3 linked regions of the Tamandua tetradactyla genome follow. The protein of the gene in region 1 interacts with the protein of each later gene in a biochemical or structural test. Links are inferred from orthologs where the notes say so. Each region holds a gene or a part of one and is shown on either strand. Other genes may lie near its edges. The genes, in order: KEAP1, AMER1 and MCM3.

Region 1 (10,364 bases):
CCCCTATGCTGTAGTGTGGACACTCCTTCTCAACATGAAAAAGTCAGAACAGGCATTTCCCAAAGATCCCTATGGATCAGGAGAAGGATTAAAGGAAAAAGAGGAGGTATACGAGAGAAAATGAGATTTAACCTACGAGTATGGCTGCTGAATCTCTATATTAATATTCCTTCTAGCCTCCTGTGTTTCAGAGCAGCTAGAAGGAAAAATCTGAGATGGTGGAATAGTACCCATGACAAACTCTGGGATTTGTTCTGCAACTACATGTTGTAGCGTGCTTTGAAAATTATTACTTTTTTCTCTCTTTGCATCGTATATGTTATTTTTTTTACAATAAAAAAGTTTTTTGTTTTTAAAGTACAGGTTGGTTAAGAGGGAAAAAGCAACAGCAGTAGAATAGTCTGGGGGCAAAGGTGGGGGAAGTGCAGGCTCTGAAAAAACCAGCCTGAGTTGCAATGTTGGATCCACCACTTTCTAGTTGAGTGATCTTGAACAAATTTTAAACTCTCTGTGCTTTGGTTTTCCCCACTCTGTAAAATGTGGACTGTATTAATAGCTGTTTTAGAGCAGGGCTACTCCTAGGGGTCGCAGGTCCATGGGCAAATATGGCTTATCAGGAGCCTGTGACTACAGACAACGTCAGTCACCCCAAATCAGCAGGTCAGCACGTTCTTGTACCCCATTCCATGTGAAACACCACTCACACCAAATGGGAGCGACCTTCTTACCAGGTCACCCTCCTGGCACCAGGCCCCAGGACGAGCCTGGAGACGTCAGTGCTAGACCTCTTTGAGGCATCTGGTCAACCACTTGCAGCATAGAGGGAAGCAAAGCACCCAGAAGTGGAGAAACGGGAATGGGGCACCCTCAACCCCAGCTAGTCCCAGCCACCAGAAAACTTAGAAAATGTCAAGGAGGGCACCCCAAAGCCCGGGGTTCCCTGAGGCTTAGAGCCTGGACCACAGCCTGCTTAACCAGGTGCAAAGGTAGATGGCTGACGAGATTCAATGACTGAATTGAAAACAGGGGCTGGCACACAGGTAAGTGCTCAAAAAACGCTTAAATCAGCTCAAAGGCACAAGTGCTGTCGTTGCCTTGCAGGAATTAGGTCTCATCATCGAGGTTTTTCAAGAATCTTCCTGCCATTTTCTGTCGACGGCTTCCTCTACTTAAGAACAAAAATGAAATCATAAGCCATCAGAAGAAGGACCCGGCATGGGCCCCCCAAAAAACACACCTAAAAGTCAGTCTTGCAGTTTGCAGCTGCTCACGGGTGTTCATTAAATCTCTGCTGCCTGCCTGCAAGAAAGGGTCCTGCTGGGCACACCCTGGGGTGGGCTGGGGAGGGGGGAGAGTGTGGCTGCCGTCCTGCCTTTCCTACCCGGTCCCCAGCTTGACCCCAGAGACCCATGAAAACCTCACTTTCCCCAGCCCTTTCCCTACTGTGTGGCCCCGAAGCTCAGAAGCCCATCTCCCCGCAGCCACCTGCCTGACTCTGCACACACGACGGGGACACAGACCCGTGAGGAACTGCCCGCCATCCCGGAGCGCCCGCACGGCCCGGCTTCTCCGTGCTCACCTCCCCGAAGTGCATGTAGATGTACTCGCGGGCGCGCTGGTGCAGCTCGGCACAGCCCATCTGCTCGGCAAAGTTGGCGATGCCGATGGCGTTGCTGGGGTCCAGCTGCTGCACCAGGAAGTCGCTGCAGGCGCGGACGACGCTGTCAATCTGGTACATGACAGCGCCGTTCATGACGTGCAGCACGCACTTCTCGCCCACGGAGATGGACGCCGTGTAGGCGAACTCGATGAGGCGCTCCATGACGCTGGGGTGGATGCCCTCGATGGACACCACCTCCATGCCCTGCTCCCGCAGCCCGTTGGTGAACATGGCCTTGAAGACGGGGCTGGACGAGGCCAGCACCACCTTGTGGGCCATGAACTGGGCGGCCGGCGTGTCCTTGTACTTGACCTGCAGCGTGACGTCGCACAGCTGCTGGCTGAGCCGCAGCTCATTCATGATGCCGAAGGCCTGCTTGGTGTGGTCCTCCAGGGTGTAGCTGAAGGTGCGGTTGCCGTGCTGGGAGGGCGTCACTTCGGCCTTGCACTCGGTGAAGGCGTACATCACCCCGCTCCCGGCCCCCTCGGGGCGCTGTGACCACGTGGGCAGGAATCGGCTGTGGGCCCCCGCCCGGCTAGGCCCGGGTTCTGGCTGCATGGAGCTCCGGGCAACGAGGGACACCGCTGCCACTGGCACTCAGGGGCCTGGAGAGGGAGAGCACTGTGTTGGGGACGGGCCTGGGGCTTCCTTCCGTAAGCTAAAGCGATCCCGGCATGGGTTCCTTTCCCAGCAAACCAGGTGATGCAGCATCCATTTGCACTTGCTAACCGCTCTCTATAATCTCACCAGCAGGAGGGCCGTCTTAAAACACAGGTCGGGTCATCGACAGCCCCTGCTCAGAATCATTCGACAGCTCCCCGTGGCGTGCAGAATAAAACCAAACTCCTCAGTGGCCTGCAAGGCCCTGCCCATAAAGCCCCTGCTCACCTCTTCCCTTTGCCCCCTCTGTCCCAGCCATCTGTGGCCTTTCCCTGCCTCGAGCACACCAAGCTCTCTCCTTCCTTCACCTGTCACACATTTATTGAGCACCTACTGGATGTCAGGCAGTGTTTTAGGCACCGAGGACACATCAGTGAACAAGAGAGACCAACAAAACAAAAACAAAACCCTGCACTCTCATGGAGCTAACATTCGGAGAGGAAGAACCATAAAACCCAAAGCTATGAAGAACATTAAAACGGCCTCATGACACAGTGATGAGGGGTGATTACTTTAAACCTGGGGTTCCAGGAAAGGCTTCTCTGAAAAGGTAAAGTAGGAATAACTGTGAAGGCAGGAAGGGGAGTGGGCTGCAGGCAGAGGGAACAGTGACTGCAAAAGCTCAGAGGCAGAATGAAACAGACCAGCAGAAGCAAGGGAGGAGGAGGTGGGGCTGCATGCAGTGTAGACAATGAGGGATGGGAGTGTTAGATATAGCCTGGAGGGAGGACTGCTGGCCAGGAAAAGGGGTGCAATCCCTAAGAGTTTCTCAGCTCAGAGTCACCTCTCCTGAGGTTTCATTTTGATCACTGCACTTGTCAGAAACTGAAAGCACCTCCTTTGCTAGTTGGCTTCAGGATTAAGTGTCCCTCTGGCCACCAGTCCCCCAGGGATCTCTGTAGCAGGAGCTCTTGGTTAAGTCACAGGCTGTGTCCCCCACCCCATCCCATGTGCCTCCCCCTGGGGTCTGGCACTGCCCAGGGGTCAGGAAACGCGGGTGGCCGGCTGGCAGGCTGCCCACTCCCCTCGCCCCGGCCCGAGGCTCTCCTCCACCCGGGCACCACCGGCTGAGGCCGAGGCCCAGGACCTGCCTCTTCGCCTCCTGCTCAACTCCCCGCAACCCCGCTCCCGTGGCCCCCAAGAAGCGACAAGTGGGCACTGCGCATGCCCCGCCTGAGCCGCCGCCAAGGCCTGGAGAAGGCAGGAAGTGACCCCGCCGCCAGCCCCAGGGAGCGGACCGAGCCCCCCGCCCCGGCGCCAGCAGCAGCAGAAGCAGCGGCGGCAGCGGCAGCAGCAGCGCCCCGAGGTCCCCGGGCCTCGGTGCGAGCGACGTGGCCTGGGCCCCCCCGCCTACGTCCCTCCTGGGCCGCCCCGTCCAACTAGGGGATGGCACCCGGGCCGCGCCCTCCCGGCCCTTCCCCGGGCCGCGGGGATCCCCGGAGGCGCCCGGCCCGCGGCGGCCGGCTCCCCGACCTCCGGGCTCGGCCGCCGGGCTCGCGGGCCCCGGCACAGGCCGCCTCACTCACCCCGCCATGGTCGCGCTCGGGCTCCGCCTCCGCCGCCGGGGCCCCGGCGCCTCCATCGCGGCGCGCGCGCAGGTCACCATGACTAAGCAGAGCCGGGCGCCCGCGTGTCAGAATAAAAGTCCCCGCGGCCCGGGCCTCGGGCAGCCCCGGGAGGGGGGCGGACAGGGCGCGCTACCCGCCTTCCGCACCCTCGGTCTTCCCCCCTCCACCCCCCGCCGCGGCCGCGGTCGCCCGGGCGCAGCCCCAGCGCCCGCCCCTTCTGCGCGCCCAGGGGCCTCCGGCGCTCGGGAACCGGAGCCCCGGGGTTCGAAGCCCGGGCGCTCTCCTGCCCGCACCGGGGACCCCCGTGGGCAGCCCTCCCCGCAGCCGCGCTCACCTCGGGCCCCGCGTCGGCGCCGGAGTTCGCAGGTGCCACGCGCTCGCGGCGCTTCCGGGACCCGATGGGGGCTCCGGCCCGGTCAACCGCCGTCAGGGACCCGCGGGCACCTCCGCCGTCGGGGGGCCTGGGCTCCCGGGCGGCCTCGGGACGCCTGGGAAGGAGGCGGGGAGAGGGTGGGGAGGGCGCGCCTGGGCCGGAGCCGCGATTCCCCGCCCTTCCCGCAGGTGCAGGGCGCCGGGCCGGCGGGGACCTGTCCTCTTTGCGCTGTCCCTTCCATCGTCCCGGTTTGGTGGCAAGGGCCTCTGGGCGCGAGGCTTCCCTCCACCACCTGCTCTTCCTGTAGGCCCGCTGGGGGCCTTGGCCACAGGATCCGCTCAGAATTAGCTACACGGTTGGGTTTTCATTGGCTTTCTTCTTTAGTTACCTCTTCTTACAGGGAGAGCGGACCGAACTACTTACACTGACTGGAAAAGAAATAGACGATCTCAACCCACCAATAACGAGTAAAGAGACCAACTCAGTCATCCACACCCTCCCCAAAAAGAAAAGCCCAGACCAGGTGGCTTCACAAGTGAATTTTACCAAACAGTCCAAGAAGTAAGCCAGCCCTGCTCAAACTCTTCCAAAAAAATTAAATAGGGGGCCAACCAAAAGCATTATTGCCAATTCTAAGGAATACCTAGGGCATTATGTAAGATTCCACAAAGGTTCCATGCACTAGAGTAACTTTCCAGAAACCTTCAACCTCCAGATGGGTCTCTGGACCAGATAAGTCCTGAAACCTAGAGGCCCAGCCTCTCCAGAATGTCAGCTAGTTCCATCTCCCTACCCCATATTACTGACAGCCCCTTCCAACATGAAAAAGTTAGAATGGGCATAGCCCAAATACCCCTAACGAGTGAGAAAGATCAAAGGTGATGGTGGCGTTTATACAAAAACAGTCGGTTTTACAAATGAGTATGACTGCTGAATCATTATATTGATTTTTTTTTCAGTCTCCAATATGTTAGAGCAGCTAGAAGTAAAAACCTAAAATGGTGGAATTGTAAACCATACACCAAACTCTGGAATCAGTTTGACAACTAATTGTTGCAAAGTGCTTTGACATTTATTGCTTTTTTTTGTATATATGTTATTTTTCACATACAAAAAAAAGTTTTAAAAAATTTGAATGGGGGAACACTTCCTAATCCATTCTATGAGGCCAACATCACCCTCATACCAAAGCCAGGTTTTAAAAAAAAGGAGAGAGAGAAAAAGTTACAGAGCAATATCCCTTGTGAATATTGATACAGAAAGGCTCAACAAAATACTAGCAAACCAGACTCCACAGCACATTAAAAGAATTATACACCAAGACCACGTGGGCTTTATCCCAAGTATGCAAGGAGGGGTTGAATTAAGAAAAATCAATTGAAGAATGCACTGCATCAATTGAGTGAAGGGAGGGAAAACAAATGATCATTTCAACTGATATAGAAAAAGCATTTGACAAAATCCAGCACCTCTTGGTAAGAACACTTAAAATACTAGGAATCAAAGGAAACTTTCTCAACACAGTAAAGGACATATATGAAAAGCTCACAGCTAAAATTATACTCATTGGTGAAAGACTGAAGGCTTTCCCTCTGAGATCTGAAATAAGACAAGGCTACACCTGTCACCACTGTTATCCAACATTGGGCTGGAAGTTCTAGCAGGGGAATTAGGCAAGGAAAAGAAATAAAAGGCACCCAAATTGGAAGGGAAGAAGAAAAACTTTACTTATTTGCAGATGACATGGTCCTCTACATAGAAAATCCTGAAAAGTCCACAATAAAGCTACTCAAATTAATAAACAGATTCAACTGGTGAATACAAGATGAACATGCAAAATTCAGCACTGTTTCTATATACTGGTAATGAACAATCAGAACAGGAAATCAACCCAAAAAATCCACATACAATAGCAACTTAAAGAAATATCTAGTGAAGGACTTAAATATGGAAAACTACAAAACATTGCTAAAAAGAAATCAAAGAAGACCTAAGTAAATGGAAGGACACTCTGTGTTCATGGGTTGAAAGACTAAATATCTTACGTCAATTCTCCCCAAAGTGATTTACAGATTCAATGCAATCCCAATTCAAATTCCAACAGCCTTCTTTGAACACATAGAAAAGCCAATCATAAAATTTATTTGGAAAAGTTAAGGATTCCCAAACAGGCAAAACCATCGTGCAAAGAAAAACAAAGTTGAAGGGATCATACTTTCTAATTTTAAAACATATTACGCACAGAATCTAGACTATAGGTTACCAGGAAATAGAATGAGGCTAAAGAATAGGGAGCAGTTGCTTAAAATGTGCAGAATATTTAACTAGGGTGGACTTAAATGTTTGGAAATGGGTAGAGTTGATGGTAGCATGTTATCGCAAATATAATTATCGGTGCAGAGTAGTGTGGGAATGCGGTGAAAAGGGGAAGTTTAGGGTCATGTCGTTCACCAGAAAGAAAGCTGAAGGTTAAAATATGGGAATACATAATACAATGAGTCTGTGGTAGACGATGATTGTGATTATCAATACAAATATTGAAAAGTTCTTTCATGAACTAGGTCAAATGAGTGACACTGTTATAAGGAGTTAATAATAGAGTGGCACAGGGGGAAAGAAAGTAGCTACTGCAAACTGTGGACTAGAATTAACAGAATATCTTAATATTCTTTCATCAGCAGCAATAAATGTATTGACTCCAATACTAGGGGCCAATAATAGGGAGGGATAAGGGATATGGGATGTTTTGGGTTTTCTTTTTTATTTTCTTTTTCTTTTTTTTTGAGTAATGAAAATGCTCTAAAATTGTGGTGATGAATGCATAACTATGTGATGATATTGCCAGTAAATAGTTGTATACTTTGAATGGATCGTATGGTGTGTCAATATAGCAATAAAACTGCACTAAAAAATATTAGAAACCTACAGTAATCAAAACAGTATGGTACTAGCACAGAGAGACATGTGTATCAGTGGGAGAGAAGTGAGAGTTCAGAAAAAAAAACACCCTCTCATCTTTGGCCAATTTATTTTTGACACGAATGCCAAATCCACTCAATGGGGAAAGAGGAGACTCTTCAACAAACGGTGCTGGAATGTGTAAAGGGATGAAGTTAATATGCAAAAATTAACTCAAAATGGATCAAAGACCTAAACATAAGAACCCAAACTACAAGACTCCTAGAAGAAAGCCTCGGGGGAAATGGGCAAAAGACTTGAATAGACATTTCACCAAAGAAGACATACAGATGCTCAATAAACATTTGAAAAGATGCTGAACATCATTAGTCACTAGGGAAATGCAAATTAAAACCATAATGAGGGTGAGCCACGGTGGCTCAGCAGGCAGAGTTCTCGCTGCCATGCCAGAGACCCGGGTTCAATTCCCGGTGCCTGCCCATGAAAAACCAAACAAAAAACATAATGAAGCACCATTTCACACCCAATAGAATGGAAACTATTGAAAAAAAAATAACAGAAACTAAAAAGTGCTGGTGAGGACACAGAGAAATAGGAACCTTTTTGCATTGTTGGTAGGAATGTAAAGTGGTGCAGCCACTGTGGAAAATAGTTTGGCGGTTCCTTAGAAAATTATGTACAGAATTACTGCATGACCTGGCAATACCACTTCTAAGTGTAAACCCAAAATAAATGAAAGAAGGGACTCAAACATAATTGCATATTGATGTTCATAGCTGCATTATCTGCAAAGTCCGAAAGATGGAAGCAACCCAAGTGTCCATCAGCCGATGAATGGATAAACTAAATGTGGCATATACACACAATGGAATATTATTCAGCCGTAAACAGGAATGCAGTTCTGATACTTGGGACAACATGTGTGAACCCTGAAGACATCATGTGGAGTGAAACAAGCCAGAAGACAAAAGGACAAAGATTGTATGATCTCACTGATATGAAATAGCTAGAATAAGCAAATGTGTAGAGTCAGAGACTGGAAAAAGAGTACCAGGAACCAGGTTGGAGGTGGGGAATAGAAAGTTAGAGTTTCATTGGTACAAAGTCTCTGCTTGGGGCAGTGGAGAAGTTCTGGTAAGGGGTGGTGGTGATGGCAGCACTTTGTCAAAGTAACTGACACCACTGAGTTAAATATTTGCATGTGGTTGAAAGGGGACAATTGGGGTTGCATATTATGTTAGCAGAATAAACAATTTTAACAAAGAACCATGGGACTGAACACCACAACCAGTGACCCCTATGGTAAACTAGAGACTCTAGTTAATAGTATAATTATAATGGTATTCTCTCACCATACTAAGGAGAAGTGTTGATAACAGGAAAAGCTGTTAAAAAAAAAAAAAGGATAAGATCAAAAACAAAAACAAGAAAAAAAAATAGGGAAAGCTGTATGTGTGAGGTGGGGGTTATATAGGAACGCTGTGCTTTCTGCATGATTTTTCTGTAAATCTACAACTTCTCGAAGTAAATAAACAAATTTTTAAAAAATGCATGGACCTCGTCTGTCTCGGGTTGGAATCCCAGCTCTGCAACTGGCTAACACGTGTGAAACGACCCCATGCTTAATAACCTCCCTGCTAGATTATCCTGGCACCCAATAGATATAAACGATTGTTGTGTTTTCCAGCACGAGGGATACTGATTTGCCATTTATGCCAGTTAGGCTGTGAAGTTAATTTTTAAATAAATATTTCTAAGTTTCTTTTTAAGGCAGTCCATCTGAGTGGAAACATTTCATAGAAGTGAGGGAAGTTTGGGAAAGGCTGGGCTGAAGAGAGAGGCAGGTCTAAATAAGGATTCCGCGAGCCTCCGGGGGGTGAATTTGGAGGATAACCCTCAGCTCAGGTTTGACATTAAGCAGGCGCCTGGGGCTAGGGGGTGGGGTTGCGCCCCTCCCGGTGCGTGGAACTGCGGTTCCCGACCTCTCCAACAGGGGGCGCACAGCCCGGGAACACCCCGAGGCTGTGCGGCAACTGCAGGCAGCCTTCCAAATCAGATCCACATATTATGAAAACCTTGTGGCTGGCTCCCTTTATCCAGGGTATGGAAAGATGAGTAAAAAATAAATAAATAAGGACAATAAATAAATAAAAATAGGGGGATAAGGGGTAAAAAACAATTGGGGTAGATTGCAATATAGTGGTCAATGACAGGGAGGGGTAAGAGGTATGGGATGTATGGGTTTTTTCTTTTTGTTTCTTTTTCTGGAGTGATTCGAATATTCTAAAAATGATCATGGTAATGAATACACAACTACATGACGATGTTGTGAGCCACTGATTGTATACTTTGCATGGACTGTAGGTGTGTGAAGATATTTGAAAAAATATATATATATATAATCAGACCCACACGTCCTGTGAGGCCCCGGTGGGACTTGGAGGGGTTTATCCAAGACACACTCGCCGGGTGAACTGATTGCAAAGGATGGGTCGCATCCCTCCATGTCCCTCGGTATGGACGCTGGTTTAATAAGTGGTAGCACATCCACGCCATGAAATAGTATGCAGCCGGTTAAAAAGTGCACCGCATGTACTGTTTGAAAGCTAACCTCAATTAAATGAAAAGGCAGAACAAAAGGGGAGAGGGGATTGCAATACTTTCCAAGACATGCTATTGAACGAACAAAGCAAAATGCAGGGTGATGCTCAAGTCGTGTAAAAAAAAGAGGAGATGGTGTTTATATTTTGGCTCATTTATTTCACAAAATAGCCCTGTTTGGTTCCCAGGGATCTGGAGAGTGACCCTGGAGGAGAAGTGTAACTGGGTTTGGGAATTTTGAAAAATGTGACTAAGTCCATAAATCCTCTGGCACCATCAAACGAGCCACCAGTGGGGCCGGGGGGAGCAAGGAGGCTTCGGGGTTCCCTTGGGAGATTAGAGGAGCCGCAGGGAGGCCACCCCGGGCCGAGCGCCCTGGGACCGTGCGACCCCAGCGTGTTTGTGTTCTAGGAAATGGGTTGAATTCCCATGTGTGTGACCTGCAGGGCGGCAAGTGCATGGCCGGAGGAGGCTCGGACACACAGCTGGGGTCAGTCACGCTCCAAGCAACCGATTCCTCCCTCCCTGCCCCACCCCCCGGATCTTCGAGGAGGCCTGCAGTTCCGCAGTCTCCCGGAAGGTG
Region 2 (9,481 bases), on another chromosome or scaffold:
AAAATATTTAAGCCTTCTAGCATCCTATATTCTGGAGCAGCTAGAAGGAAAAATAGGAGAGGATCGTATGGTAGCCCATGACAAACTCTGTTATATGTCCTATAACTACTTGTTGAAGAGTGCTTTGAAAAGTATTGTTTTTTTATTTCTTTGCTTTGTATATATGTTACATTATACAATAAAGATGTTAAAAAATAAATGAAAAAAGAAAACTGAAATGCCAGGCCTCCCTCTAACCACCACCACTAGTCAAACTTTTGGAACAAAGAGGCTGCATGCACTACCTCACAGAACATTCTCTTGACCTCCCATTGCAGTCTGGTGTACACTCCCACCCCTGCTCCAAAATGGCCTTGCCCACATCACCAGTGACTTGCTAGACCCACATTCAATGGTATTTATCTTGCTGGACCTCTGGACAGTATTTGACACATATACTCTTTTTTTAAAAAATATTTTTATTGAGAAATCTTTACACACATACAGTCCATACATGGTGTATAATGAATGACTCACAAAATTCACCACATAGTTGTGTATTCATCACCATGATAATTTTTAGGACATTTGCATCATTCTAGAAAAATAAATAAAAAGAAAAAATTCACACATTTCATTCCCCTTACCCCTCTCTCTCATTGACCACTAGTATTTCAAGCTGCCCAGTTTATTTTACACCTTATCCCCCCTATTATTTATTTAATTTTATCCATATTATTTTTGCTCATTTGTCCATACTCTGGATAAAAGAGCATCAGACACAAGGTTTTCACATTGTAAAAGCCAATCAAAGCTACTGGAACACAGTTCTACACTTTCAGGTACTTTTCTCTAGCCACTCCAATACATCTAAACTAAAACGTATATCTATATAATGCATAAGATTATCTCCAGGATAACCTTTCAACTCTGAAATCTCTCAGCCACTGAGAGACAAATGAGACAAATCTCATTTCTCTCTTCCCCCCTTTTGGTTAAGAAGGCTTTCTCAATCCCATGATGCTGGTCCTGGCTCATCCCAGGAGTTCTGTCCCATATTGCCCGGGAGATTTACACTCCTGGGAGAGCATTTGACACATACACACTTGATAATGCCATCTTTCACTCCCATGCCTTCCTTGACTTCTGTAAGAGCCAGCTCTCCTGGCTCTGGTCCACCTTGCCAATCCCTCCCTCACAGGGCTCTGTAGGCTCTTGTTTTTTACTTCTTTTTTTCACAACCTTCATCTAAGGTGCCATCACCAAGTCTTGTCACATCTATCTTCAGAATACATCCAAAATCCAATTACTTCTCACCCCTTCCATTGCCTCCATCCTGGACTGAGTCACTATCAACTATCACCTGGATCAATGTACAAATCCTCCTGTTCTCCCTGCTTTCTCCTTGTTCCTACACCCCACTCCCACCCCCAAAATATGCCTCTCCTCAGTTCAAACTCCTACAAAGTATAAAGTCTTAAAAATGGCCAATAAAGCCTTATACCATTTGTCTTCCCCCATGACCTCTCTAACCTCCTCTCCTACCACTCCCATCACTTACTATGCTCCAGCTTCACTGACTGCCTTACTGCTCTGTTACCATTCTAGCATGTTCCCACCTCAGAGCCTTTGTACTTGGTGTTTCATCTGCCTGGAATGCTCTTTCTCATGATTTGCTCCCTACGTTTCCTCAGATCTTTGCTTAAATGTCACCTTCTTTGTGAGGCATACCCCAACTGCCCTGTTTAAAACAGTAAGTTCCCACATACCCCATACTCCCTGTACCCCTTTCCTGCTCTATTTTTTCTATAACATTTATCACCATATGACATACTATGTATTTTACTTATGTATTTCGTTCAATGTGTGTTGGCCTTCGTGGAGCTTCCACCATCATAATGGGAAACACAATTTAAAAAATGATGGAAAATAATAAATAGCCATAAAAATAATTTGCTAGGAGGTGGTAAATACTATGAATAAGAAAAAAAAAATGCTGGTTAAGGACTGGAGAGTAAAGGATTGGAAGTGGGGGGATGGGGATTACTATTTTATATACCAAGTGAACAGGAAAAGTCTCACTAATAAAGTGACATTTGAGCAGAGACCTGAAGGACTGGGAGGGAGCAAACAATGCCAATATTCAGGGGGCAAACATTGTAGGCAGAGGGAATAGTGAGTTCAAAAGTGGGATTTCAGACATGTAGAACTCGTATGTCCTCAACAGAATCATTACTTTTCCTAATTTTGTTCCCATATATCTCTGCTTAGTGGATAGCAACATCATCCAGTCCCTTGCCCAAGTTTGAAACTACAAGGCACTGGTCTGATGGCTTGATTGCCTTCCCAACTAGACTGGTTGCTGTTGAGGGAAGAAGCTGTGCCTGGTTCACTATTATGGCTATGGAACCCAATTCAGGACCTGGCACAGAGGAGGTTCTCAGTGACTGGCAACATCACATTTCGTTAGTAGATATTAGACATGAAAATGAGTTGATATTAGACGTGAAAATGCTTCTTTTAGTCATTCTCCAAATACATGCCAGCACCAAATTTGTGCTAAACTCCTCATTGGGTGCTGAAGATACAGATTAAGAGACTCTCTGCCCCAGGAAACTCTGCCTGGCTCAACACAGTCAAGAGAAATCTGCATAAAAGAATCACCCCTGCTAGCCTCCCTGATCCCCTATTCTGACTAAACAAGTTGTTCATCTATTAGTGAACATGTGAGACTTGATTCTGGAGGGCTCCTGCAAGGAGGACATAACAAGGGCATTTTGAGGTACTAATGTGCACATTTGGTCTTTCCATGCATTTTCTCTGGGGAAGGTATGCTCCACTTCCCCCTGCTCTGCATTCCTTCTTCCCAACACACACATACATACACATTTCTGAGACTCAGGAACAGGAAGAAAGGTGCCCAGCTAGGAGGATTCTGTACCATTTCAAAGGTTATTTTCATTTCCCTGAAGCCCTATTTCTTTTAGGCCCAGCTTAAAAGCTTAACACTGACTAGTGTAGCAGAATGGTTGGTGGCTGGGCAGAAGGCATGGAGAATTATCTCCTGTGACAGGACCAGTGCAACAGTGCCCTCTTGCCTAGGGTTATTTGGAGCCAGCCACCTGACTATTCTACATATCTCCTCTCTCTCTGTTCCCACAACTAAAACTGCCCTGGCCCTTTGTTTCCCAGTGCTCCAAGTTTAGGAACTGCCTTCTCCAAACTGTAATCTTTGGCCTACTTCAGAGAGCCAACATTCTGGGAGAAATATGAGCAGGTGGCAGGTGGTCAGAGGTACAAGTTAGCAGGGAGGCCAATGAAGGAGGTACTGGGAAAGAAAAGCCACCTCTAGATCAGGCCCGACAAATGAGAATCAGGACTTTGCAAAGCAGGAAAGCACAGCTCCTGGGAAATGTCATAGTCTAGGCCTCCAGATGGGCAAACTGAGGTTAGAGAGAAGGGATTTGCCTAACAAAGTTACACAAGGAGCCAGCAGCAGACCCTCTCTCCTCTATTTGTTTAGACCAACAATTAGGATAGGAGGTCGGATGTCCAAATTGCTGACTTTTGTTGTGGGGAGATGTATGGAATGTCGTGGAAGGTCATGGAATATCATGGACTATTATAGAAAGAACTGAGTTGGCCTGTCAGAGATGCAAGAGATTGAGGAGCTTGATGGAGATGGGATAGATGGAATCGCCCAGAGAGGAAAAGAGACCAGCCAAGGCCATACAGGAAGTTTGAGGCAGAGCTGGGGCCAGGTCGGAGCCCCAGCAGGCATGTCAGTTCCTTTGCTCCACACATACAGGGTAGTCCTCCTCTTACCAGTTCAGTAGTTCGATCTTTTTCAAGACAAGCAACTCCCAGTAGAGCAGCAGAGAACACTCACGCGATGCAAAAAATTGGCCTTCATTGTTCTTTAATCTCTCCCTCTCTTCTCAACTTTAATCCCTCCCCTCTTTTTTTAAACTGTCATAGTTTTAAGACTGGGCCTTCTGAAAATTCTTCAACTAGTGGTAGAACTGGATTCCTTGCTGTCTCTCCTTATCTACTCCTGGCAGCCAGCCACTAATGTTACTTAATGCCCTCAGGCATAAGACCTAGCCCATGGCCACATTTCAGGCACAGAAATAGACAAGGCTAACACTGGCCTCCATACTCTGTCCTCAGCTTGACCTCCATCTGGGCCTAGGCCAGATTTTTCTCCCACTATCTAGGCTTTTCAGGGACAGGAACTTGCACAAAGTCAGGCTCACGGTTAGAGGTGTGGGGGACGTCTGGAGACCTTGGGGGATTCTCTAATGATTAGTGAAAGGTGGGAAATTTGGGTGCGGGTCAAACTCAGGGAACAGGTATCTTCCCAGAGAAGAAAAGAGAAAGCTGTCATGGACTTGGAGCCCAGTCTCTGTTTTCCAAATCTGTCGGTGTTGCTGACGGTCTGGGTGACTACGTGGAGGCGCTTTCCCTTCTCTGGGCAGCAGCAGCCAGTCGGTAATGGGTGGAGGCTGGCCTCGATGGTCCCTAAGGGCCCCCGTGTGCCTGAGAGGTGGGGGGAAGCTGGGTGAGGATACTGCAGTCGGTTTTCCTGGCAGCTGAGTCCCTCCTCTGTGAGGCCCGGGACCACAGGCCCTATGGCCTTGCCTCTACGCCTAAGGATGGGCCAGGCGAGGTGCCCAGAGGCTCTGCAGTCCCCCAGTCTCTCAGCCCCGCTTCGCCCCGTCCGCTGTTCTCTGTCAGATAAGCTGCCTGATGGTGGACAGGGAGCTGCAGCGCGAACGCACGGCGACCGCGGAAATGGGAGCGGGTGCAAAACCGAAACTGAGCTTCAAGAGTCTGGTGAGCCCTGTCTGGGCGGGACCCGCCCCGCGAGCCCACGGTGTCACAACGTTGGGATCCAAAGGCAAGGAGGCAGGAGCTGGAGCAGGAGCTGGGGAGCTCCAGCGCCAGGTTCCGCACCCTCTCAGCAACAGCCAGCACCACACCCGAGCTTATTTGCATTTAAAGAGAAACGCACCAAGAAAAACAATGGGCGTGCCAGGGCCCGCCTTCCCACCGTTGCGATTGGGCCATAGAGCCTGCCAATCAGAGCGCGGATTCCCCACCCCGTGGCTTTGGAGTCCCGGAGGAGGGGGTATGCGGGAGCACCCCAGAGTCTGGGGAAGGGGAGTCACTGCTTGGAGGTGACTGGAGCTGCGGCGACGTTGGTAGGAGCAGCGGCAGCAGCCTAGGCGACGGCGGCGGCACTCACAGCTGCGACAGCCGGGTCTAGAGCCCAGGTCAGGGCGGCGCAGCAGACAATACCCGCGCTGAGAGCTGGACTGGGTCGGCTAAGCGTTGCGCGCAGCTGAGAGCCTCCGCCTGCCTACTGCCTGGTGCAGTCCCGCGTGCTCCATTCTGGCAGCCTTGAGGAGGACACCAAGCTTTGGGCCGGTTGGCGCCCCGGGCGCTTGCTCTCTCCTTGGACCTTGTTTGGTGGACTGTCCGGTAAGCTGCAGAGCGCCAGCGAGTCCCCGGGGCCCTAGTGACTGTAGCCGCGGGAAGTGGGGGGTGGGGACAGGCGGGCGGGCTAGCTTGGGCCATGCCTCTGGGCTCTTGGGGAAGGCGGGGATGGGCCCGCCCGAGCTACCGCGAGGTCCCTAGAGGGGCGCCGCCACTTAGCACTCCCAGCCTTGCATTTGTAGGCCGGGAGCGCCGCACCTTTGTTGTAGCAGATTTGCTGGAACTGCTGACTTACCCGGGTCCCGCTAACCCGCGGCCCTGCTGCTGCCCCTCCCCACCCTTGTGCATCTCCACTCTTTCCCTCCTTTCTGCGGACGAAGCCAACGCTCTGACCAGTGCCCGATCAGGACTGACTTTGGCATGAATTGGGGGATCCACACTGTCTGCCCCCACCCTCTACTCCCCGGAGGAATTAAGTGGGCCTATGGTATGCCTAGTTCCCCTCGGAACCAAGGCCTTGCTGCTCCAACCGGCCGCGCCCCCTCCTCCCCTGCCTCCTGTCGCATCTGGCGCCTGCCCCCGCGGACAGGCGGGCTGCTGGTGGGGCTGTCGCTGGTCCTTGGCTTAGAGCTTCAGCTCAAGGTGGTCCTTGGGTTAGAGCTGCAAGGCTTTGTCTTACCCACTCGCCTTGCGTCCTCTCCCTTCGGAGGGCACTGGCAGGATTTTTCTCTTCAGCCTCCGGATTAAAAATAGCGATTGGTGTTGCGGGGGTGGGGGATTTCCGTGCCAGAGGCCGAGGGGGCAGTCGTTGTAGTAGGGGAATGCAGCGTTTGGGTGTGTGAGAGAGGCAGAAAAGCAACCAAATCCTCCAACTTTGCAGTTACTTAAAAAACCCAGCCTTCCGAACCACTGCTATTGTCTGCTGCAGACACCTTTGACACTGGTAAACCTCTAGCAGCCGGACTTTGCCTGGGCTCCCCGGGGGGCTAAAAGGGTTGTGCACGCCAGGCGATCAGGCGGCAGCCAGACTGGCCCCGCAGAGCCGCCCTCCACTTGGCCAGTCTCATCTTGGTGTGGGCTGCGGGTTCAAAAGGAGCCCCCCCACCACCAAACATCTTCCTTTGCTGTTCTGCTGGCCTGCTGCAGCCATATGAGCAGGGTGGAGTGCACAGTGCTGTTGGACTCCCTGCTACACCACCTCAGATTCCAGCAGAGCCCCAGTGCAGCTCCCCTCATTCTGCCCTACGCATTGCACAGCCACTGCACAGCGATGAGCCTCTGGCAATTGGTTCTCAAGGCCTCTCTGAGGAACACGAAGAGAGGAAACAAGCTAAGAGCTTGACAGTCTCTTCTTGGACCTTTGACCAACCTGTGAAGGTGGAGAACCCTGTCCACTGCCAGGCCCAGACAGAGCCTCAGCATTTCAGAGAAGGGGCAAGGAGACCCAGTGACTCCCTCACTTGGGGGAAGGCTAGCAGGGGACCATTTTGATACTGGCTAGGACTGCATACCACGCTGCAGTCACCAACTCCCACCTTGGCTACACCCCAACAGAAACCCCACTCACAGTGGGATATCGCCAGTCCAGGGCTGGACCTGTCCTCTGTCCTGCCTCAGGCCAGCAACTGCAAAACACATCTGCCGTATATTATTCCTCTCACAACTCCATACCCAGCAACTATCCAGATTCTCTTTCCTCTAAGGTCCTAGCTCAGGGCCCCACTTCTGCTTGGTGCTTTTTTTGCCCATCTCTTACAACCCATGATGACCTTTTCTTTCTCAGAATTCCTCCAGGGATGTCTACATCTCCTGGGCATTTGGTGGTTTGAATTTTACTAGGAGACAGACTATAACTAATTTTCCTTGCCTCTGCTTTGTTTCCTGATATCATGAATATCTGGATTTTCTCTGAATCCCTCAGAGGGGTAGATGAAACCTGGGACCTCAGCGGTAAATCCCTTAAAGGCCAGCAGTAGTTGGTAGTTAATGAATGCTCCAGAAGGACCTGCTGCCTTTGCAAACTTTCCAGAAGACCTTGACCTGTCCAATTTATGCTTGTCCCAGTTCTCATGAAAGTGACTAGATAAATGGCACTCAAGGCTCAGATTTTTATTGAGTGTAGCTAATGAGAATGGAGGAGGATGGGTTGCTACTACAAGGAAAAAAATCATGATCTATCCTTTCAACAAGAAGCTCAGGATGTAGGCCACTTAGAACCCAGACTACACCTTTATGAGCCCAGAGACAAACTGCGATGACGAGAGATGAGACCTGTGTATATAGGGGGGATCATTCTGGGAAGCTTAGAGAAAGTAGGGAGGTTTGGCTAAGCAAATGATTGAGTGACATAAACAAAATAATTCCACATCTGAATGGAAAGGGGTGGCTGACAGGCAGCCTGAAGTAAATGAGTCAAATCTGATTAAGATGGTATGGTTCTGGGGTAGAGGAGGTTGGAACCCAGGGGTCCATGTTCCCAATTGCCAGGCTGCAGAATGGGGATCTTATCCTGTGGTGAAATAGGGCATCAAAGAGTTGGGAATTGAAGGGTTTTGATATTTTTGTGTGTATAAATATGCCATGATAAAAACGGAGTTTTAGAAAGAAATTGGAAGCATGTAGCAAGTTGGACAGGTAAAAGGCCAAACCTTTGGATATTGAAACACAGATCAAGGCAAGCAGTCTCCAGAGGGAAGTTGCACCATATCAGCCTCCATTTGGGGGAAGAAGCAGGAAAAAGCCTGAAACCTAAATACCAACGTGGTGGCAACTGAGAAGTGTCCCCCAGGCCTCTACTGAATCCCTTTCCCTCAGCTGGACAGGTCTTCAATGAGCACTGATTTGGACTCCTGTGCTTACAGATATGAAACCTGAGCCCTGGAAATGAACAGGGACTTGCTTGAGGTCACACAGTTGAAGTCTCATAGCTACTTAGGGATAGGCTGCTGCTTCTTAGACAATAGCTCTTTCCAAGGTATCCCGCTATCTCCAGGGTATCCAGCAGCTCCATTCAACATAGATCTCATCAACACTCACCTCCCCCATCCCCCAAGAGTGAAGGGGACTGGGGTTTGAGGAACCCATCTGGTTGGAACCTCTCCCCTTTCGTGTCTCTTTTCCTTCTTGGTCTGCAGCCCTGTGGAAGGCTGAAAGTTTCAGAAGGAAGGGAGGTGGAAGAAATTGGCATTCTAATGATTCCCTTCTGATCTAGTGGAGGTTTAAAAATTCCTCAAGAACTGTTACATTCACACTCTGAGAAAGTGTGTGGTAGGAACAGCCTTACTCCTCTGGTCCAGAGGAATGGGGGGATGGGAAAAATGCAGAGATACTGGTAGGTAAAGGATTTGATTACAGATAAAAGGAGAAAAGAACTTCTGCCCCTTACTTACAGGTAGGCTACCTGAAGCTGGAAGAGGGTAATCCCATTGTCATTCCACAAACTAGGTGGTAAAGGGAAAGTTCCCAGAGGAGGTATTTCATAGCCTACTTCTTACTTATTCCTGGATCACTAATCTCACCCTGTACTACCAGGAAGTTCTTTCTCAGAGCTAAGCAGAGCCTCTTGTGATACAGATAAATGGTGCACGCGTGTGTATGTGTTGGAGGTGGGGGAGCGAGGTTGAGAGCAGCTGGCCACAATTGCTCTTCTGCTTAACAATCCATTGAACATTTCATAGTCATTAAACCCTCATTCCCACCCCCAAATTCTGTCTCTGAGTTAAATAATCACAGAGCCTTTCATCTCCTCTCCATGGTTTTATTTTTCAAACCTGTGCAAGTTTATGTATATCTCCAGCAAGGCAGGCAGGAAAACCAGACCACTGCAGAGTTGCAGGTGCCAGCTGAATGAGGGTGCAGTGCTCCCCCCACCTCCCCTTTTGGGATTAGGGGAAATAAGAACAATGGAGAAAATGGCCCCCAAAGCATTTGGTGGGGGTCTGAGACAAGACATCTAGTGCTGCAGGGACCTTTTTGACACTTTAAGCTGCATTCCTTGTCCCAGAGCCTTCATTACTTTCATCTCCTACAGGTTTTGTAATTTTTGTCCTGCTCAACCAGTGTT
Region 3 (10,185 bases), on another chromosome or scaffold:
ACTTTCCTGTATGCATAATAAATTTCAATAAAAACCATTTTAAAGTTTTGCATCCCTGCCATTTGAATTTAAAAAAAAAAAACAGCTATCTCTTATGGAGTGCTTACTACTGTATCAGTTATTGTGTTATTATTTCATGAATCTAATGTAATTATCCCAACAACTCTGTAAAGCAGATATTTTTTACATTTCACAAATAGGGAAACAGGCTAGGAAAGAAGTTAAATAAATTCCCTAAGGTCACACTACAAGAAGCAGAGCCAGGACTTGAACCAGGTATAACTCAAAAGCCTTTGGCTCTTAAGCACTATACTAGACTACCTCCAAGAAATCTGCTGTAACGTATTTTAGGTCTCAAGCAAAGATTGGCCACAGTGATCAGCAAAAACAAGTACTCTCTAGCCCAAATATGGGTACCTGGATAAGTTTTAGAAGTTAAAGTGGAGACCATAATGAAGAAGAGCGCAAGATGTCTTAGCACATAGAACCAGCCTGAAGTAAAGTGACACAGGTCCTAGTTCTTAGGGCTCTCATTAACTAGAACCACAAGCAAATCACTTAACCTCACCAAATCTCTCAGCATTTCATTTGGAGGTAGTCTAAATGACTGTTAGAGTATATTTCAGTTAAAATTCCAAGATTATTCTTTTAGTTATTTGTATATTAGATTCCTCCATCTTTGTTTTCTCTTTACCTTTGTTTTTCAGCATGATCACGATATACCAAGGTATAATATTTTAGATTTATCTTATTTGGAGTTTGCTCAGCTTTGCCTTTTTTTGCTGCTGCAGCTGTTGTAAACAACAGTCTGGTCTTCATCCCATTGCATGAATTTATAGTAATTTACTTAATGAGTCTCCATTTGATGGGCATTTGGTGATTCCACCCCTCACCACTGCTCTTATGGATCAAGCTACAAGACATATAAGGTAAGCCAGAAGACAAGGACTGTGTTTTACTTACATCTGTGTCCTTCTTAGAGACTAGCAATATTTTGGATACACTAGCTCACAACTAAAAATTGATGGGGGGGAGCATTCTTTGATAGGATGAGTTCAGACATGAGGTAATCTATATTAAATATTTTCTTTTGTTTAATTAAGTAAGAAGGCCTTGCATTTTCCTCAATTCAGACTGATCTAAGAAAAGAACGCTTTCCTATGCCAGCTTTCTCTCAAACTAGCAAACTGCTCCTAAAACCAACATCAAGATTAATGGGATTTCTATAACCTAAAGTGGCTGTAGAATTCAACCTTAACAAAGTGGTATATTTGTTGTGTGACAGACTATTATATATGCAGTAAAATGACATGTGCAAAGATTTTATAGTAATATTATAAGTATTTTCCTATGTTCAGTTTAAAGCATATTACAAGAGATACATAAGATTTTAATTTTTTTTAAAAGATCTATGCAGAATGAATTATTTTTCTCCCTTCTTATAACTCTTCCACAATTTCCCCAATCTTTTAAAATAAATATTTATTCTTTTTTAAAATATAAGAATTATGAATTTTCCATATTAAACTCTGGCCAATAATTAACTTTTTCTTTGGATTAATCCTTACTATTTATTCACTTCATCTACTTCTACAAGATTTCAGATGTTACCCAATTACTCGTATGCTAGCAAGCACTTCTGATTTCAACCCCCAAAGAAGCCCTATTGATTCATTCCACTCACTTTAGTGGGATAGACAGAACTGGATGGAAAGGCCACCAGGGTAGTGAGGTCAGAATAACGCCGTTCTATAGTCTTCTTGGTAGCAGGACAGTAGTGGACACTGCGGACCACTTTGGGACGAACTAGAGAGCCTAGGAAGAGAAACATGCATTTAAAATCATCCAATTAGACAATGATAGAGATGTAATATGAACACAGGCAAGCCTACAATGACTACAAATACTGGGTTCTGACTAGTTTAAGTTTTTTCGATACTACCTATCATATACTCATTTTCGCATTTATATCTAGAACATCACCATATCTATGTAAAATGTTAAGTACAACTGATTCCACCCTAATCACTATGCGCACTCTGAACTCCTCCAAATTTCACCCATAATCTCAATCATTCACCTTTCTGAAGCCACAAGCTACCCAGTTTTACTTTGCCTTTTTTGGCTTTTCCAGCCCTGTGAAGTATAGCATTCCCTCAGTCCCCACTTTAACCCACTCACATTTAGTGACAATGCCCTCTACACAGACAACACAGCTGAGGAAGCAGGAGGTGAGAGTACGGGGAGAGACATGCTTAGAGCCAAAGCTTCCCTCCAATCCTATGTAGAATTCCTCATACTGCTTGGCATAGGTAGCATCAATGGAGGCCACAAAATCCTTTAAGGCCCGCTGGAAGGCAACCAGCTCCTCAAAGGCATTGCTCAGGAGGCTGCATATGGGCAAAAAAAAGAGTAATTAGGCAGAGAGGACAGAACTCCAAAAAGGTGACCCTGGAAAAGGAATTGGACATTCTTGGACCATCAAGACCAAGTCAAGACCAAGGAGTGGAAATCCAGTTCTTACTTTCTCTTGTCATCCTACAAGACTCAGTATAATAACATTAGAACTAAGGGTCATGTTTGTTTCAACTTGTCAAAGATGTAGAAATGATACCTAGTTAAACATTGGAAGGAGATGCACATGAGAGGAAAATAGTTACCACCTACATTTGAAAGAAGAAACAACAACAATATAGGAGCAGGTGAGGCTATGAGGGCTCCTAAGTCAATCACTTTTCATCTGGGTCCTCTCCTGGGAAGGGAGACATGTTCAGACATGGGGAAGAGGGTTATCTTCCTGCGATTCCCCTGCCACTTACCGATTAGCCCTCTTCTCATTTTTCCTACGCAGGTCATTCACATTAACAATCAGCCGGTAGTGGTTGTCACTGATCAGCTCCCGAACTTTGCCCTGATAAACTCCCTGGTCTTCCTGCAAAATAGTCACCACACATCAGCACAACCACAAATGTAAAAATAAGATATTTTAAAACAAAGGTAGTTGTCATAGCGAGATAAGCAAGTCAATTTCTGAGGCAGTGCTGAACCCCAGTATCCATTCATCAATTTCTCCCATTTTCATTCCTGGCCTCAGATTCCAAAAATGCCTATTTGCAACACTATAGGAATTATAACAATTTTCTCAAGGATAACGGTCCATGCTATTATTCCTAATATCAACAACAACTTATTAAATATTTCTGTATGCTTTAGTGGGGAATTAAAATGAGCTCAAACGAAGACTAAAAGAATAAATAAAAACCTTATTAAAATGTAAAGTAAATGAACTTTTAATATATATTAAAATGCCTTTTTATCTAAAAATTACGTATATAATCAAAGTATTTCATTTCCCAATCTTGTATGTAATAATATAGAATTCTCATATCTGGACCTAAAGGAAGGCCTGAAGAAGGTGACATTTGTTTACAGATAAAGCATCAACCTTTCAACATTCTATAGTTTTACATCTTGGGTGGCATACAAAACCCCCTAATCTTCATGTTACTGGGAACTGAAAAAGAATGCGGCCAAATTAGAAAGGTCTTTTCCTCCCAGTGGTAAGACGTTGACGAACACCATGGATTCTCACCTATATTCCCTCTCCCACCCTGTCCCCCAAAAAGAGCAGGACGTAATTTCGAAAAGGCCAGGGGGACGCTGACATTTTGTTTGCACTTGAAGGAAGCCTGTCGCCATTTGCGAGACCTGACTATTACTTGTATTGGGGAGAAAGTTACCAGACGGCTCTCTAAAGATTCAACTAGAGAGAGGCAATTAGCAACTGATTTCACAGCGAGGAGTTACACGTTCGGGCGGAAGGCTCCTCAGCCGGCCGTCGGCAAAGCGAGTCAGCCAGTCAGAGTAGGGAGAACTGACCGGCCTCTCGCTGCCGGGCTCTGTCGCTGCTTCGGAAAGAGCGGCATCCCGCGCGACCATTCAGCCCGCCCGCCGTCCCCGGGGGTCCGAACACCAGGGCCTCGAGCGCCCGCACCTCCCTCACCTTCCTCACCTCATCATCCAAGAAGTCCAGGTAATCTCTCTGCGCCTCCCGCAGCTCCACATCGTCAAGCACGACAGTCCCGGCCATGCTCGCTGCCTCGGAATCGCCTACCCTAGAGCCGCGTGTAGGACCCTTGGTAGACTCCGCGGCGGCACGAAAACTTCCGAGCTTTTCCCGCCACCAAAGAGTACCTCGAGGAAGGGGCGGAGACTCTGGGTGAAATACGCACTCTAATTAGCTGCTTCCTCGTAAACCGGAACACCGAATATCCAATCGGCAGCTTTTCTTCTCCCGGCTTTCCACGCAGCGCCTCGCGGTGGCGGGAAATACGCCATCCGGGACTCTCTATATTTCTCCCCTCCCCGCCCCGCTTCCCCGCCGGGAGAGCTGGCCAATGGGATGAAGAGAGAGCCCACGGAGCCTAGTAATTGGGCAGCCGGAGAGGCGGGGTGCGCTGCATTCTGGGAGTCGTAGTTTTATCTTTCCGGATGTTCAGGAGGTTCTTTGCAGGCTGCGGTACCTTGGCTTGCCGCAGAGTGATCCAATGTAACCATGGATTTGGTCTACTCTGTGGGTCTTTCGTTGAGAATAGCCAGAAAACGGGCGGTTAAAATGCAGGAGGGTGAAAAACATAAAAGCAAATCCTTTTAAAAATGTATACAAATTAAGTATGCTAGATATGTTTCAGATGCAACATCCCTCAAGTAGTATCTGGGGCGGGAGGCGGGAAGCAGTGTGTTTTTAAGAATCTGTGAAATGGAAAATAGAATCATAGCATCTCAGAGAAATGTTATTTAGTTTATACCTGTTTTTGATCAGATTACCGATACCTGAAGTACCCCATAATCATGCTAGGCCGTCAAGAAGGGTGGAGTTGAAGAAAAACTTTCTGTATATCCTCCAGCTCCCAAGCAAAAACCTCATGTCTTATTCAACAAAATTTTGGACATAATTACTCAGTCATCTTACTTGTGAAAGGATAAATTAGAGGATAAAATTAGTAAATCACAAAAGGCTTTTTCACTTTATGAAAGATCACAAGATTCTTTTAAGTAGCTTAATTTAACAGGTAAACAAATACAAGGAGAAACAAAAACCAAGTATTTCAAGCCACTGTTAAATATCAATGGGTGATTAAGAATACCAAATCTGAGGGTAAAATTATTATAACAATTGAATGTCAAAGTTTTTTTGTTTTGTTTTGTTTTTGTTGTTCTCTCTTGTGGTTTGGTTAATTTTATTTTTCAGATATAATTTATATACAGTAGAATACACAGATCTTAAGTTTACAGCTCAATAAATGTTTACACAATGTACGTATGTATGTAACTATGACCCAGTTCACTATAAACAACATTTCCATTTCCGTTGCGCCAAAAAGTTCACAGGAAAATAAAATAACAGATTGCCCAATATAAGACACCTGGCAATTCTACAGTTAAAATTTCAACCAACTGGTTTTTAACTTACCTTTGAAAATCTCCAGGATGGTGAGCAGGTAACCACATGAACCTGAATCAAAAAAAAAAAAAAAAAAAGCCATGCCTGGCTGCTTGCTTTTTGCATCCAACAGCTTAACAGGCAAGAAGAAAAAAAAAATTTCTACAATGAGGATCTTGTTTACCATTATCTAGTAAAAGGTCATTATTATTTAAAATGTCTTTATGACTTATTCATAATTGTCATTTTATGAATATATTGAAGGCAATACAATGTTCTTCGCTCTGGAAACACAGCTTCAAAATTAACACCAGAAGAACCAAGAACCAGTCTAGTTCAAAGAAGCAAAAATATCAACTCGTTAGTGGTGGAAAGCCCAAAGGAATTGGATTCTAGAGAATAAATCTTTGATACTAAACACATTTTTCTTGAGAAGGGGGCCAAGATGGCGGCTTACCAAGGTGTGGGATTTAGTTCGTCCTCCAGAGCAGCTAATAAATAGCCAGGAACAGTACAGAACAACTGCTGGGGCCACGTCAGTGACCGGACACACAGTGTACCCCAGTCTGGACCAGCTGGACCGGCTGTGAGCACTCCAGAACCGAGAGTTCCCCAGGCCACCCAGAACCGTAAGTTCCCCAAACCGCAGTGGCTGGCGCCCCTCCCCCACATGCTACTTCCCAGAGGGGAAAGGAAAGGGACTTTGTGAGCACCAGGGGCTGAGCACAACCAAATTCCAATTGTGGAATTAATTCACAAATTCTGACTACTAAAAATAGGCCCCCAGCTCAGTTGAACCTTGAGTAAAAGCAGAGGTTGCTGGTTTTTGCCCCCGCTCAGAGGGGGCAGGGCTGACAGAAAAAGAGAAAAAAAGAATAGCTGTTTTTGGATTTGAAAGGTCTGGGCCCTGAAGGAAAGGAGGGGGCATATGGGACCTGGAGATACACAGAGCAACGTGCCAACTTAAGCTCTTGATTGGCAAACCCTAGGAATGGGGATCTTGCTCTGAAAAGGAATTTTCTCTTCCATTTTGGTGGCTGTGTGTCTATGGTTTGACTGCTCTTTGGATACAGCTGCAAGGCTTCTTGGGCTCCACTGCCCCAAGCAGAGGCAGAATTAAGCTGGTTTGAGTGTTTGTCTGGAGCCTGTACCTTCCCCAAGAGAGGGGTGGGGCCCAGCTCAGATGGAATCCCTCCCTCAAGGAATTCAGACCCCAGGGTCTGGAAAACTGAAGCGATTAAAACCGGTCTACAACCTCTCCTCTGTCTCCACCACGCCCCCAGCAGGGAGAGTCTGCTGAAGTTAAAGATACCGCAACACCTTATTCTGGTGGGACCCATAGGCAGACAAGCGCCATGTACTGGGCAGGATAGGAAAATCAGAGAGCCCAGAGACTTCATAGGAAAACCTTTCAATCTGCTGGGTCTCACCCTCAGGAAAAACTGATGAAGATGACTCTTTCCTCCTGACAGGAGGTCAGTTTGGTCTGGGAAAATCTGGCTGGGCTCTATAATACCTAAGTAGACCATAGTAAGGGGAGAAAAAAAGGCACCATACAGGCAGGGCAAGAAACAAGAGAATAAGAACTGAAAAATTCTGACAACAAAACCTAAGCTAGAGGTCCAGAATAAGCTGAACTGAATGTCAAAGAACAGATAGACAACAAAGTCATCCAGCAAGAAAATCCTAGGTAAAAAAAAAGTGAAAACAATCTCCAGAATAAATTAATTAAGGTAATTAAATGCCTAGATGCCAGCAAAAAATAACGAATCATGCTAGGAAAATTGAAGATATGGCCCAGTCAAAGAAACAAACCAACAATTCAAATGAGATACAGGAGTTGAAACAATTCAGAATGTTCAAACAGACATGGAAAACCTCATCAAAAATCAAATCAGTGAATTGAGAGAGGATATAAAGAAGGCAAGGAATGAACAAAAGGAAGAAATCGAAAATCTGGAAAAAATAAATCACAGAATTTACGGGAATGAAAGATACAGTAAGAGATAAACAAAAGCAATGGAAATCTACAATGTCAGATTTCAAGAGGCAGAAGATAGGATTAGTGAACTGGAAGATGGGACATCTAAAAATCCAACAAGCAAAAGAAAATATAGGGGAAAGAATGGAAAAATATGAGCAGGGACTCAGAGAATTGAATGACAACATGAAGCATGTGAATATATGTGTTGTGGATGTCCCAGAAGGAAAAGAGAAGGGAAAAAGAAGAGAAAAACTAATGGAGGAAATTATCACTGAAAATTTCCCAACTCTTATGAAAGACTTAAAAGTACAGATCCAAGAAGTGCAGCATACCCAAAACAGAATAGATCCAAATAGACATACTCCAAGATACTTACTAATCAAGATGTCAGATGTCAAAAAGAAAGAATCTTGAAAGCAGCAAGAGAAAAGCAATTCATTACATGCAAGGGAAACCCAATAAGGCTATGTGTAGATTTGACAGCAGTAGCCATGGAGGCAAGAAGACAGTGGGATGATACATTTAAATTACAAAAAGAGAAAAACTGCCAACCAACAATTCTATATCCAGTAAAATTGTCCTTCAAAAATGAGGGAGAAATTGAAACATTTTCAGACAAAAAATCACTGAGAGAATTTGTGACCAAGAGACCAGCTCTGCAAGAAATACTAAAGGGGGCACTAGAGACAGATATGAAAACAGAAAAGAAAGAGGTGTGGAGAAGAGTGTAGAAAGGAAGACTATGAGTAAAGGTAAGAAGAAGGAAAATTAGATATAACATATAAAATCCAAAAAGCAAAATGGTAGAAGAAAGTACTGCCCTTACAGTAATAACACTAAATGTTAATGGATTAAACTCCCCAATCAAAAGACAAAGACTGGCAGAATGTATTAAAAAATAGGACCCATCTATATGATGTCTACAGGAAATGCATCTTAGACATAAGCATAGGATAAGCATAGGTTGAAAGTGAAAGGTCGGGAAAAGATATTTAATGCAAATAACAATCAGAAAAGAGCAGGAGTACCTATACTAATATCCAACAAATTAGACTTCAAATGTAAAACAGTTAAAGAGACAAAGAAGGACACTATGTATTAATAAAAGGAAAAATTCAACAAGAAGACATAACAATCATAAATATTTATGCACTGAACTAGAATCCTCCAAAATACATGAGGCAAACATTGAAAAGAGAAATAGACACATCTACCATAATAGTTGGAGACTTCAATTCCCCACTCTCATCAATGGACAGAGCATCTAGACAGAGGATCAATAAAGAAATGGAGAATTTGAATAATACAATAAATGAGCTAGACTTAAACACAATTTTCTCTGGGCTTCAGTTTCCCATTATATAAGGTGAGGAAGTTAAATTAGAAAATTGCTCATAGTCCATTCCACTCTAACATTCCATGTGCTTATGGCAAATTTGAAAATTGTGTAAAGGCAATTCCATTTAGTGAATGTATCTGTATCTCAGTTTCCTTACCCTTAAAGTTACAATAGAAATAATATCTACCTCATGGAGTGGTTTTAAGTATTCAATGAAGTAAAAATGAATGTAAAATATTGAGAAAAGTGCCTGGAATATAGTAAACACTAAGTACTGTTAATTGATGGTTGTAGTGGTAGTGGTGGTTGGAGAGGGGCTGAGGATGGGCGCAGAGTTGGGAGGGGAATAGTTTGTAGAAAAGTGGGAAGAAGTACCTTGTACATTCTGGAATAATTCAGACAACCCTCTCTGTGGTAGTATGGATTGTGTACCCCCAGAAAATGTCATGTTCTTTTCATTCATTCCTATGGGATCTATTGTGGATGAAATATTTTGGTTAGGTTATTTCAAGTGAGACATGACCCAGACCACTCAAGTTGGGTGTTAATGCTTTTACTGGAGTCCTTTATGAGAGGATAAAAGACAGAAAAAGCCCAGGAGCATATAGAGGGAAAAAAAGAAACAAAAACTGGAGAATCTGAAAGAGAAAGCCGCTGACACCAGGAGCTTAGAGCAACGAAACCAAAGAAAGAAGGAGCTATAGACGCCAGCCAGATGCTTCCCATGCAACAGCGCATTCCAGATGCCAGCAGTCTTTCTTCAGAGAAGGCATCATCCTATTGATGCCTTAATTTGGACATATTCACAGCCTTAAAACTATAAATTCATAACCTAATGTTTCCATTGTAAAAGCTAACTCATTTCTGGTATACTGCATTCCAACAGCTTTAGCAAACCAAAATACCCCCACCTCCACCGAAAGCTTGCAATAGAATCAATCTATATATATCTTGACAGAGATTTACTTTGCTGGAAATTCAATTGGCTAAAGGAATGATACCCTCATAGACAGGGATTCTGTTTTAGGATTCTGCCTATGTTGAAAGCCACCAGAAACCTTTGTTCCATATTTAAGGAACATTATGGAATGCCAAATGGCCTCTGGAACCAGCCAGCAAAATCCTGCCTTGTAAAGACAGGAGAGTCCATAGCCTTCCTTTCATCTCACCCCAGCTCCATCATTTGCTTCCTGGGGTATTGCAGGTTAGAAATGCTACTGAGATCAGGAAAATCCAGGAGTCAAATGAAACATCAGTGATTCTGATTTGCCCATTACATTTGGTAACACAGTTATCCTGCCAACAATTTTGATTCATTGTTATTTGCCAAGGTTGATATCAGCAATCATATTTCTTAGTCATTGAGAAATCATTCACATTCTTAAAGGCACAAACCTTTGCTGAGGTTCTGTTTGAACA

What was found.
Region 2: the proteins of KEAP1 (region 1) and AMER1 form a complex in vitro, tested with the Homo sapiens proteins (2 studies listed by BioGRID). The link is inferred for Tamandua tetradactyla from reciprocal best matches to the Homo sapiens genes KEAP1 and AMER1.
Region 3: the proteins of KEAP1 (region 1) and MCM3 form a complex in vitro, tested with the Homo sapiens proteins (2 studies listed by BioGRID, with this or other methods). The link is inferred for Tamandua tetradactyla from reciprocal best matches to the Homo sapiens genes KEAP1 and MCM3.

The regions. Positions count from the first base shown.
Region 1 is NC_135337.1:91,322,732-91,333,095, reverse strand, and holds the start of KEAP1 (kelch-like ECH-associated protein 1), read right to left. Parts: upstream 4,377-10,364; 5' UTR 4,223-4,376; intron 3,925-4,222; exon of another isoform or gene 3,847-3,924; intron 3,338-3,846; exon of another isoform or gene 2,408-3,337; intron 2,266-2,407; 5' UTR 2,219-2,265; coding exon 1,580-2,218; intron 1-1,579. UniProt on the Homo sapiens protein: Substrate-specific adapter of a BCR (BTB-CUL3-RBX1) E3 ubiquitin ligase complex that regulates the response to oxidative stress by targeting NFE2L2/NRF2 for ubiquitination.
Region 2 is NC_135353.1:109,861,531-109,871,011, forward strand, and holds the start of AMER1 (APC membrane recruitment protein 1), read left to right. Parts: upstream 1-5,094; 5' UTR 5,095-5,463; intron 5,464-9,481. UniProt on the Homo sapiens protein: Regulator of the canonical Wnt signaling pathway.
Region 3 is NC_135331.1:110,768,604-110,778,788, forward strand, and holds the start of MCM3 (DNA replication licensing factor MCM3), read right to left. Parts: upstream 4,381-10,185; 5' UTR 4,091-4,380; coding exon 4,013-4,090; intron 2,933-4,012; coding exon 2,820-2,932; intron 2,391-2,819; coding exon 2,182-2,390; intron 1,816-2,181; coding exon 1,685-1,815; intron 1-1,684. UniProt on the Homo sapiens protein: Acts as a component of the MCM2-7 complex (MCM complex) which is the replicative helicase essential for 'once per cell cycle' DNA replication initiation and elongation in eukaryotic cells.